Cricetulus griseus: one gene and its partners. Each later gene encodes a partner of the first gene's protein in a complex. Links are inferred from orthologs where the notes say so. Each region holds a gene or a part of one and is shown in the gene's direction. Other genes may lie near its edges.

What was found. The genes of interacting proteins can lie anywhere in the genome.
Region 2: Iqcg (region 1) and Ccdc153 share a complex: the UniProt entries of both Homo sapiens proteins name them as parts of the nexin-dynein regulatory complex. The link is inferred for Cricetulus griseus from reciprocal best matches to the Homo sapiens genes DRC9 and DRC12.
Region 3: Iqcg (region 1) and Fbxl13 share a complex: the UniProt entries of both Homo sapiens proteins name them as parts of the nexin-dynein regulatory complex. The link is inferred for Cricetulus griseus from reciprocal best matches to the Homo sapiens genes DRC9 and FBXL13.

The regions. Positions count from the first base shown.
Region 1 is NC_048597.1:56,503,454-56,507,083, forward strand, and holds part of Iqcg (dynein regulatory complex protein 9), read left to right. Parts: intron 1-2,112; coding exon 2,113-2,270; intron 2,271-3,630. UniProt on the Homo sapiens protein: Component of the nexin-dynein regulatory complex (N-DRC), a key regulator of ciliary/flagellar motility which maintains the alignment and integrity of the distal axoneme and regulates microtubule sliding in motile axonemes.
Region 2 is NC_048597.1:155,926,457-155,930,722, forward strand, and holds the start of Ccdc153 (coiled-coil domain-containing protein 153), read left to right. Parts: upstream 1-1,447; 5' UTR 1,448-2,199; intron 2,200-2,466; 5' UTR 2,467-2,476; coding exon 2,477-2,546; intron 2,547-2,572; exon of another isoform or gene 2,573-2,611; coding exon of another isoform or gene 2,612-2,616; intron 2,617-3,052; coding exon of another isoform or gene 3,053-3,057; coding exon 3,058-3,123; intron 3,124-4,217; coding exon 4,218-4,266. UniProt on the Homo sapiens protein: Component of the nexin-dynein regulatory complex (N-DRC), a key regulator of ciliary/flagellar motility which maintains the alignment and integrity of the distal axoneme and regulates microtubule sliding in motile axonemes.
Region 3 is NW_023276806.1:172,829,650-172,833,742, forward strand, and holds the start of Fbxl13 (dynein regulatory complex subunit 6), read left to right. Parts: upstream 1-1,274; 5' UTR 1,275-1,502; coding exon 1,503-1,577; intron 1,578-1,585; coding exon of another isoform or gene 1,586-1,697; exon of another isoform or gene 1,698-1,698; intron 1,699-1,955; exon of another isoform or gene 1,956-1,971; intron 1,972-4,093. Other genes in the region: Armc10 (armadillo repeat-containing protein 10), read right to left, coding at 709-841. UniProt on the Homo sapiens protein: Substrate-recognition component of the SCF (SKP1-CUL1-F-box protein)-type E3 ubiquitin ligase complex.

The DNA.
Region 1 (3,630 bases):
CTTTGGAGCCTATCCTGGCAGTTGCTCTGGAGACCAGGCTGGCCTGGAACTCAGAGATCCTCCTGCCTCTGCCTCCCGAGTGCTGGGATTAAAGGCGTGCGCCACCAACGCCCAGCTATGATAGTGATATTTCACATACAAGATTTTCTGGCATAATAGGAGCCCTTCTTGTGATTTTTTCCCCTTAAAACAATTCACTTTTATTTTGAATTGTGTGTGTGTGTGTGTGTGTGTGTGTGTATTCTCTCATAGGTGAGATCTGAACTTATATATACGCTCACCCAGGACAGGAGAGTAGAGGGGACCACAATGAGGGAGAAGGGAGTTTGAGGTCTGGGGACAAGAGAGTAGGGTCAGTAGACAAAGAATATTACCACATTTTCTCCTACATTTCCATTCCCCCTCCTTGTATAGTTTCTAAAACATTAGCTGTTTATTTTGCCAATGAGAAAACAGCAGCACAGAAATTTTAGATAAAAAACAGATAAATTTTAGTAAAAAACAGAGCCAGGATTGAGACACTGAAGCTGGCTTTACAGTCCAAAAGTGTCGTTACTGTCAGTAGCCCAAGCATTTAGCCACAGGTTAAGAATCAATTGGGAGACAAATGATGTCTTGTGGTTCCTCAGTACTTGAATTTAGGTCTGAAAAATATTTTGGCTTTTCTTATATAGCCCTCAGGATCTGAAATACATTACTAAATTTGGTACCAATTTTCACTTTTTAGTACAATTCTCCTTTTATTTTGTATAGTTTTATATTGTTTTGTATTATTGTAGTATTATTTGTATTTGTATTATTGTATTATTATTTGTATTTGTATTATTTGTATTTGTATTATTGTAGTTTTATATTGTTTTATATTTGTTTATATTGTATAGTTTTATATTGTTTTGTTGTCTGTCTCACTGTGTTGCCCAGTGAGTTCTCTCGTGACTCCACTCAGCCTTCCTTACCCATGACCACAGGTCCATGCCACTACGCTGTCTGTGTATATTGTGTTTTGCCTGCATGTGTCCCTACACGCCAGCAGAGGGCACAAGATCTCATTACAGTTGGTTGTGAGCCACCATGTGGTTGCCGGGAATTGAACTCAGGAACTCCAGCCCCGGGATGATCATGTTTATTACCAACCTTATTCCATGGAGAATTTGAGATGAAAGAAAATGAAGATATAGGGATTAGCTCAGAATCTGACATGCCCAGGCACAAAGCCTGGGTGTTCCATCCCCAATACAGAAAGAAAAAAGTAAATAAATAAATAAATAAATAAATAAATAAATAAATAAATTAAATGGTGTGAAGTGGACTGATGCCTCTAAGACACTGTCTCTCCTCTCATAAAAACCAAGATCTCATCTTGCTATTTTATACTTACAATATGGCAAATTTACAGATCACTGTGGGTTTTTGTTGATTTGTTATTTTACTGTTCATTTTTGGATTGTTGCTTTGTAGTTTTGAGCAGGGTCAACCTTAGCCAAAGCTGGCCTGAAACTTAATATCCTGCCAGGTGACCCAGAAATCCTGACTTCTGCCCTCCACCTCCCAGGTGCCAGGATCGCAAGCCAGAACCATCAGACTCTTGCTCTTTTACCCTTTGTGATGCTGGGGTTGGGTCCAGGGCCTTCCACATGTTAAGGATGTATTCTATCATGGGCCTACCCCCTCAGCCCCAAGCTTCACCTTTGCTCTTTGTCTTATAGTTCACCAGGCATTAAGTTAGGGGATGACAGAATGTGTGGAGGCAGGAAGACAAGAAACAGTGGGATATATGTTTTGATGGGGCTGAAGAAAGGTCTGTTTTCTTGGAGTATGGAATGTAAGTGGAGAAAAAGGTTGAAAAATACACAGCAGTCCTCTTAAAGTGTTGTCTCTTTAAAACAATTATCTCTAAAGACTTTCTTTTTAAGATTTATTTAGTTTGTATGTGTACGAATGTTTTGTTTGAGTCTATGTCTGTGCACCATGCACACCCACCGAGGTCTGAAGAGGGTGTGTGGGTCCCCTGGAACTGGAGTTACAGATGGTTGTGAGCCCCCACATGGGTCTTCTGCAAGAATAAGTACTCTTAACCCCTAAAACAGTATCTTTAACACCATTTATTTTCAGAAAGCAAGCCACGAAAAACCATCTGCGGTCTCAAGTACAAGGAAATTATCTCTTCCTTTGTCAGAAATGAAACAACGAGGCCAGGACTTAATCTTAAAGAAGCCTACCAGGCAGACCATCATAAACCTGGAGACACTGAAGAAAATTCAGAATGATAGGTAAGAAGAAGGGAAGGTAATCATACCAGCCAGCAGGTGTGAAAGAGGACACCTGCTTCTGTGAAGGTCCCAAAAGTGGAGTGGCACAGTTTAAAACATGGCCAGCCTGGTCTACAGAGCAAGTTCCAGGACAACCAGGGCTACACAGAGAAACCCTGCCTTGATAAACTAAAACAAGCTGGGCAGTGATGGCACATGACTTTGATCCCAACACTCTGGAGGCAGAGGCAGGTGGATCTCTGTGAGTTCGAGGCCAGCCTGGTCTACAAAGTGAGTTCCAGGACTGGCTCCATAGTTACTGAGAAACCCTGCCTTGAAAAAAATCAAAACAAAACAAAAAAACAAAAACCCAAAACAAGCTGGCTGGTGGTGGCGCATGCCTTTAGTTCCAGCACTCGGGAGGCAGAGGCAGGCAGATCTCTGTGAGTTCAAGAACAGCCTGGTCTACAAGAGCTAGTTCCAGGACAGCCTCCAAAGCCACAGAGAAACCCTGTCTGGAAAAACCAAAACCAAAACAAAACAAAAAACCCCCCAAAAACAAATAAAAAAAAAGCAAAACAAACAAGCAGCCCCCCCCCCAAATAACCCATGGTGCTGTATTATCTTGAACAAGTTAACGAGCTTTTGTTCTCCCTTTCCTCTTACTCTCCCTACCTCTTTCTTCCCCCTTTTCTTTTTCTTTTTCTCCCATTCTCCCTCTCTCCCTACCTCTCTTCTTTCTTTTCTTGCTTCGCGTTCTTTCTTTTTCAGTCTCTAGTCCCAAGTGGTCTGAACTCACTGTGTAAACCAGGCAGGCCTAAAATTTCTGGGCCTCTTGCTTTCTACTGAGTTCTGGGCTTACAGATCTGCACCACCACATCCTATTTTAGTTTGTAACTTTCTTTCTTTCTTTCTTTCTTTCTTCTTCTTCTTCTTCTTCCTTTTTCTTCTTCTTCCTTCTCCTCCTCCTCCTCTTCCTCCTCCTCCTCCTCCTTCCTTCCTTCCTTCTCCTTCTTTTTTTTTTTTTCCAGACAGGGTTTCTCTTTGTAGCTCAGGCGGTCCTGGAACTCGCTCTGGAGACCAGGCTGGCTTTGAACTCACAGAGATCTATCTATCTGCCTGTTTCTGCTTCCTAAGTGCTGGATTAAAGGTGTGTGCCATCACTGTCTGGCAGAAACTCTCTTCTTAATAGAGCTGTTAACTCTTTTTTGTATGAATTATTATTGATAAGTACAAAATGATAAATATAATTTTTCCAACTCTGTATCAAAACAAATTAAAAAATTAGGTTTAATTGGTGTGTGTGTGTGTGTGTGTGTGTGTGTGTGTATGAGTGTATGAGTTTTGCCTGCATATATGTATGTGAACTATGTGTGTGCCT
Region 2 (4,266 bases), about 99 Mb from region 1:
GGCAGGAAGAGGAGATTCTGAAGGAAGAATAAATAAAAACATGGTGGAAAGTGAGAAGAAAGATGTCCTCTATATCTGGGAAGTGTGCACAAGGCTCACCAGCCCCAAGTTCCATGGGTTGTAAGCACCATAGAGGCAAGTCTGACTCCTCTCTTCCCTCTACAAAATGTACAGAGTGATGGCTGGAGACATGGTCCAGCAGTTAAGAGCAAGCACTGCTCATGCAGAGACCCCGACTTTGGTTCCTAGCACCAACCATACTGATGGACTGCCCACAGCAGCCTGTAAGGCCAACTCTAGGTGCTCCAATGCTCTCTTCCAGCCTCTTTGGGTACTGCACTCACATGCACAAACCCACACACATATAGCGAAATGAAAAATTAAAATTAAAAATCTTTTCTAAGATCTCTAAAGTGCCATGGGGTTAAATAAACACTCATTGACCTTCTGCTTCTTCTTCACAGGTGAGAGATCTTCCTCCCACGTCTTATACCTGTTTCTGCAGATTTGCTTCTGATAATATGCAGTTGACCAAAATTCTGGAATAGACAGAAGTGCCCAAAAAGAGTCTGTAGATCCCATAATCCACAGGGAAGAAGGAAGGCTTACTGTTCCATTCTATGTATGATGCCATTGTGATGCCCAGTAATGGCCCGGTTCCAGGATGGAGCCCTCCCAGATGGAGGGGGCAATAGCAAGCTACCCCATCACACTCTCTACCCACAATCAATTTTTTAAATCATATGCAAGATGCTAGAAGGCATCCCCCAAAGAGAATCTCCCCCATATTGTGCAAGAAATACTAAACTGCAAAATTTAGGAGACTCTGGTCAAAGCAAGTCCACTAGAGGGAGCACTAACCAACTCTATGCTGCAGAGAGCTTGGGGGCTTCTAAACACCCTGTCTGCAGAGTAACCTCACAGAGAAATAGGGAGAGTGAGACAATTGTTGAGCGGGAGAGAAAGAAGTCCTAGAAACACACCACTGAGTATATATATATATATTATATATATATATATATAATATATATATATATATATATCCTTATTTTACATAGCAATCTCGGTCCTGTCTTCCCATGCCCACCCACCCCCATCCCATTCCCACTGCCGTCCACTCCCCAGGGAGGGTAAAGCCTTCCCAGGGGGATCATCAAAGTCTGTCACATCATTTGGGGCAAGGCCTAGGCCCTCCCCCATGTATCTAGGCTGAGAGAGTATCCCTCCATAGGGAATGGGCTCCCAAAGTCTGTGCACTAGGATAAATACCGGTTCCACTGCCAGAGGCCCCATAGACTGCCCTGGCCTCCCAACTGACACCTATCTTCAGGGGGCCTGGTTGGGTCCTATGCTGGTTCCCCAGATGTCAGACTGGGGTCCGTGTGTTCCCACTTGCTCAGGTCAGCTGTTTCTGTGAGTTTCCCCAGCATGGTCTTGACCCCTTTGCTCATCCCTCCTCCCTCTCTACAACTGGACTCCAGGAGGGAACTACAAAACTTATACACCAAGAAATCCAAGCTGAGCAAAATTAAGTAGCTCAGTTCGCAACTCTGCCTAATTTGTGGCCTCCTTTCTGGGTCAGCATCCCCAAGTCCACAGCTCTTCTCTGTTCTCATTTCTCTTAAGTGGAAAACTCTCAACTACCTGTGCCAGCACGTGTTTCCTGCACAAGCCACAGATAGCATTTCTGAAGTAGACCTCAAGTTCTAAAGCAAATCATGTCACTGTGTTCATGAGACCTCGGGATATAAAGTACCTGCAATGGCTACTTTCCCTGCCTTTCTTCTCCATCTGTAAAGCACTAGCCTCTCACACTGGATGCTTCTAGATTTCTAGACTGCAAAGTCTCCAGATGATAGGCAGTGCCTGTGTAGACATGAATAATAGCTATTCAGCTCCAAGACCTTTTCTTTGCGGGTAGGAGGGGAATCTACCTACACAGGACCTTTGTGTGAGTCAATTTAGCCCATTCTACCTGCCTATGAACACAGTGTTTCCCGGTTGCCTGGGCAGCAGGCAGTCTCCAGAAACCCAACATCCCAGTTCTTGGTCCTGCCTCTTGGGGAAGTTTTTCAGCCTGGATTGGCTCCCAGGACCCAGGCTCCTTCCTCCCTAGGCTCAATCTGCTTGGGACTCTATCTTTCCCAAGGAGTGTTATTCCCCAGGGAGACAGCACTCAAGCAAGAGAAGGTCCTCCAGGTAGGAAGGGGAAGAATAAGCATGTTGGGGAGACAGAAGGGACCAGGTCCAGAGATTTATCTTCTCTAAAAGGGCTGTCTGCTGCCCATAGAATTGCTCTACCTCCCAGCCTTGCCTGGGGTTCCCAGGAGACCAAGAACCAAAGCTTCTAGAAAGTGTAAGATACACTGGAAGACTAGAATTCTGACTGCCCCAAGACCCCTACCTCTAGGAGTCAGGAGAGCATTTCTGTATGCAGACCTACACAGAAGGTCTTCCCTCCCCCAGGGCAGCAAGGATGCCACCTAAAACCAAAGGAAAGGGGAGAAAAACTGGGGCACAGAAGAAGAAAAAAAAATCAAGTCCTGGTGAGTCACAGGGCGTGTCTGTGACACAAAGGTCCTCGGAGGGAATCCAGCCCTCTGGGCAACAAATGGAGTGGGTTTGTTTTGGTTTTGTCTTTTGTTCTTTTGACACAGGGTCACTATGGGACCCAGGCTGCCCCAGTCTTCATAGTGACAGGATTACAGGCGTTGCTACCACACTTGGCTAGGGTGAAGCTTCCTGGCCCTCCTCTGCAGATCCTTGCGTCCAGATTCCATGGGGCTGAGGAAGTGGAGAATGCCTCCTTCCCAAATTCCCCCTGGAGCCCCATCTAGTTCTTTGCCCTCATCATATTTTTCACCCTTATTTTGAGCACCCACCGTGCACATGGTGGGTGAAGACTCTGCCACTCAGCCGTAAATTTGTCAGATTTGCCATTGGGCCTCCCTCATCCAGCTATCTTCCTCCATCACGAAGGAAGAAGTGCAGGTGCAGAGCAGCACTGGGGTGAGGCCGAGAGAAGGATAACCTGAGACTATTGTCTTGCCAGAACAGATGCAGAGGCTGAGGCCAAGCATAGGATGGTCCTGCTGGAGAAGGAGCTGCTTCAGGACCACTTGGGTAAGAAGTTTGAAGCCTCAGGAGATGGCAGAGATAGAAGTCCTAGTTAGGGTCATCGTTGCTGTGATGAAACACCATGACCAAATCAACTTGGGGAGGAAAGGGTTTATTTGGCTTAAGCTTCCAAATCACTGTTTATTATTGAAGAAAGTCAGGATAGGAATCCGAGTAGGGCAGGATCCTGGAGGCAGGAGCTGATACAGAGGTCATGAAGGGTTGCTGCTTACTGCCTTGCTTCACATGGCTTGCTCAGCCTGCTTCCCTTTTTGTTGTTGTTGTTTTATTTTGTTTTGTTTTTCGGTTTTTCGAGACAGGGTTTCTCTGTGTAGCTTTGGAGCCTATCCTGACACTCGCTCTGGAGACCAGGCTGGCCTCGGACTCACAGAGATCCGCCTGCCTCTGCCTCCCGAGTGCTGGGATTAAGGCGTGCGCCACCAATGCCCAGCTCAGCCTGCTTTCTTATAGAACGCAGGACCACCAGCTCAGTGGTGGCACCATCCACAGTGGGTAGGCCCTCCCCATTAGTCACTAATTAAGAAAATGCCCTAAAATCTTGCCTACAGCCTGATCTTATGGAAGCATTTTCTCAGTTGAGGCTACCTCTTCTCTAATGGCTCTAGCTTATGTCAAGTTGACAATAAACTAGCCACCCAATGTATGGAACATAGGGCATTTCTGGGTTCTTGGGGAACTGGAAAGTTTGAACTGTGTGCAGGGCTAAACCAAGATAGCCATTAATCTATTTGCAAGATTGTGAGGAAGGGCTAGGCAGTGAAGATCAATGAAAGAAGCTATCTCCCACCCCTTCCCCCAGCTGGGAATAGAATCACAACTTCATTCATGATAGGTAAGTAGTCTACCATGGAGCTAACCTGCAACTTGGGGAAGCCATTGTCTTATAGTGGCCAGAACATGGAGGGATTATTGACTTAGGAATGAAAACCCTATGGGTTTTGGGGCAACTAATAAAGAGTATACGAAATTGACACCTGTCACCAAGTTCACAGAGGTGAACTTAGTTCATGGAGGCCATGGTGATTGGTTCTGTAGGACCCACAGCCAGACCTGAGCATGGCTCTTGACACTGTCCACAGCTCTCCAGAGGGATGAGACCCGCAGAGCCAAGGCTTCTGAAGAGAGGCT
Region 3 (4,093 bases), on another chromosome or scaffold:
AAGTTTCTCTACCTCTGAGGAAGGCAGGTTTTTAGTTGGCAGACTTTATTTCAAATATTTCCCCAACAGTTTTCACGACCTAAACGATCCCTTTAGCATATGCAGCAAACTGTTGGACCTCTCTTACCACCACAGGACTGAACCTACAAGCCCTGTTTGTCCAAAGGTTGTAACCCGTGTCGGCTGAGCGTCTTTTTCCTGCATACACCCCGAGTTGCAGGATGCTACGGCTGGACCCCAGGACAGGTCCCATAAGTGTTGGCAGAATTGCACCTCAGGGAGCCCTTCTTCACACGGCTACGTGCAAAGTTTCAGCCTGGGCTTGAAGGCCGCAGTAACCCTCTCGCAGTCAGGGGCATCTCTTTGGTGACACAAAGGCCCGGGACAGGTTTTACAGCGACAGGCAATCTACACGGTTTGGAGAAACCCTAGTTCTCGGTTGCGAAGCGATGTTTTCTTGCAGCCCTCGTCTTAAACAAAGGAGTAGGTGGGGGGGGGGCAGGGAGGGCTCAGGACCGTCTACCTCCAGCGCTCCGCCGGCCCGCCCCACGTCCCCTCACCCAGACCCAGTCTCCCTGCGACCACAGGCAGTGGCCGTGACTGCCGAGGGCGCCCCCGGCCCCGCCCGGCCAGCCCAGCCCAGCCCAGCCCAGCGCGGGGGTCCCGAGCCCCGAACCTGTGCACCTGCCGAGCGGCCCAGCGCCTCACCTGCGGACCGCGAGGGGCGCAGTTTGCGCCCGCCTGGCCGCGGGCCCCGAGTCAGCCGGTAGATGCAGTAGCAGGCGCCGGCGCCCAGGACCAGCCCTGCCGCCACCCAGCCCGCGTCCCGCGCGCCGCCCATGCCGCCGCTGCCTCCGAGTCGCACGGAGCGGATTCAGCACCGCACGTAGCGGCAGCAGCACCGCAGACAGGAAGTGCGGCTGAAGCTCCGCCTTCCGGAAGCCGCCCTGCGAGCGTCGGAAGCCCCTCTACCCGCGCGCTGCATCACCAGGAGGGCGGCGGGATGGGCTGGCTGGAGCCGCCGCACTCGTGGCCGCCCGCCCCACCCCGCCCCGCCCCGCCCCGCCCCGCCCCTCTGAGTTCTCCTCTAGCTCGCCCCACCCCCGCGCCGCCCCTTTGTACTCTGCCCGCCCTCCTCACTCCGCCCCGCCCCCTGCCCTCAGGCTCTAGTTTCCATTTCCAGGCTGACCCGGACCGCCCCGCCCAGCTGCATGCCCCTCCCCTTTACATTCTGCCCCGCCCTCTCTCACTCCGCCCCGCCCCCTCCCCTCAGTCTTTAGTTTCAGTCTCCAGGTGGTGGGGACCAACCTGCCAGGCTCCAGGCCACGCCCACTTCATGCTCCGCCCCGCCCCTCCCCTCGGGCTCTATTTCCATCTCCAGGCTGGCGGGGACTGTGCCTGGCTGGTTCCGTGGTTGCCACGCAACGCCCCGACGCGGCTGGCCTTGGAAGCGCAGGTTTCCAGATTGGGCAGACCGCGGTTTCTCTGTCCGGTCTCCGGCCATGGCTTCGTTACGCGGTGCCTCCCCCAAACTGAGGAACTACTTCAGGGACAACTACATCCCTCAGATCTGTGAGGTACCTACTGGAGCCAAGCCGAAGGCGGGCGCAGGGAGGGGCCCCGGGGCAGGTGCGAGGAGACCGGGGTGATTGATGGTGGCGCCAGCCTGGATGGTGTGAGGAAGGAAGAAGTGACATCCTGCAGGGAGAAAGAGCAAGTGTCAACTAGTGAGGGTCAGCCAATGGACAGAGAGAGAGACAGAGACAGAGAGACAGAGACAGAGAGACAGAGAGACAGAGACAGAAAGACAGAGAGAGACAGAAAGACAGAGAGACAGAGAGAGAGAGCAGAGACAGAGCGAGACAGACAGACAGACAGACAGACAGACAGACAAAGTGGGAAATTACCAGTATGGAGCCAAGTAGAAATATTTAATAGGGAAAAGCCTTACTTACAGAGCGACCTAGCCAAATTGCATGGCAGCAGTCTGTAGAGCAAGCCGAAAAGTGAAACCAAAAGCAAAACCCCAACCTGGAACTCTACATCACCCTGACCACGCCCTCAAAGGCGTGGTTAGGCACACCCCTAAGTGGGCAGCTTCCCCTACAATTCCCCTTTTAGTCTAAAAGAGGAGTAAAACTTAACAGTGTTAAGTATCCAAAATTAACAATCATAAAGGTGAAATATAAGAAGATACAACAATCTGCTTATGTCACATCCTAACTATCTATGTTAACTAAACCCTAAAGTCATCTGAAAGAGGTGTCCAAGCCCGAACACCTCCTTCCAATCCCAACCATAAACAATAGGAAACTATCCCTAACTAGGTATATACACTATCTTAAGTGACAACAATGGGGGAAAGGGGACGTAGTATTCTCCAAGTTACTTCCTGCTGAAATGGGATGACGACATCCTTATGGGGTCCTGTAGGAAGAAAATGTTAGTATAGTAAAAGTCTTGAATGGATTGTATCCAGTCCATGCTTGAAATCCTCAACTTGATTGAAGTCAGTACCCAAAGCTTTGGCCGGAGTGTCAGGTGAAATGGAGCAAGTTGGATGCAGTGCAGTTGAGGAGGTGTGGCCCATTTTCTTTCCAGGGTGTCGAGGGATTGCTGTCAGGCAGGTCTTCATTGGCTGTGTGGGACTCAAACATAAACAGCAGAGAAATGTTGCTTGTGTATGTACACATACTAGGAAAGGCAACCATGGGAGAATAACGATTATGAGAGGGTGTACACCTTGAGAAAGAGAGCCAAGAAAAGACAAAGACAGTCCCCAAATTCTTCTATCATTCTGTATTACATCAATTGGCTTCTTGATACTATACAGAAAATCTAAAGTTTAGTTAAACAACGTGCTTGGATTTTAGAGGAGGAAAGCCAAATCCACCTCTAAATCCAGCGTTGGTTTAATTGAATAGGGGCTAGAAAAAGAGAAATCGAGTTCTCTGAGAGATAGCTGTAAAGTTTGCCGTATGGCACGTTCCTTTTGTTTGATGGTTATAGCTACCTTCTCTTCTTAAGCATCTACCCATGCAGTGTCCTTTGCCTTCAGGAGATGAGTTTTCCTGTGAAGATAAAAGCAAAACACTTCCCTTTCCTTTGGGAGGTTTCTATTTAATTTATAAGATATACCTTAGTAGAATACCTGTCATTTCTCCTCATCAAGAGGTTTTTCCTTTTCAACTCGAATCTTGATCAACTTTGATGGTATCCAAAGTTTTTCTTGTCCTGTGGAAACCAATGCAAAACCCCTACCCCACTGTAACACATGTCCTGGTTTCCATACAGAGGTTAATACATCTTTGAAGTATATCGGCTGATTCAGTTCAGCAGTTTTCTCCATAGTCCAGTGTCTTTCTGCAGCTGTTTGTTCTTTCTCATTGGCATTAAGAAAGTTTAGTGTTAATAAAGCATTATGCAACCTATGTTTGGGGGGTTTAGTCTTCCAAGTTTGTTTGTTGAGCATCTCCTTAAGTGTTCTATTAGATCTATCAACAGCTGCTTGTCCCGTAGGATTGTGTGGTATACCAGTAACATGCTTTTTGTTATAATATTTGAAAAACTGTTCCAATTTTGTGGAGACATATGCTAGAGCATTGTCAATTTTTATTTGTGCAGGTATATCCATAATTGCCATCACCTCTAGCAGGTGTGTAATAACAGAATCAGCTTTTTCAGAGTTAAGAGCAGTAGCCCATTGGAACCCTGAGAACGTGTCTATAGTATGATACACATATTTCAAATTTCCAAATTCTGCAAAGTGAAAGACATCCATCTGCCAAACCTCATTTCTCCGAATGCCCTTAGGATTACAACCTGCTGGCAATGGAGTTTGGTTATAAAAGGAACAAGTAGGACAGTTTCTCACTATCTCCTTGGCTTGTTGCCAAGTGATGGAGAAGTCCTTTTTCAAACCTTTGCTATTTACATGATGTTTCTTATGAAATTCTGAGGCTTCTAGCACACTTCCAATTAATAAACGATCAATCTCATCGCCTTGTGCTAGTGGGCCTGGCAGACCCGTATGGGATCTGATATGTGTAACATATATAGGATCACTTCTGTTTCTGATAGTTTCCTGTAATTG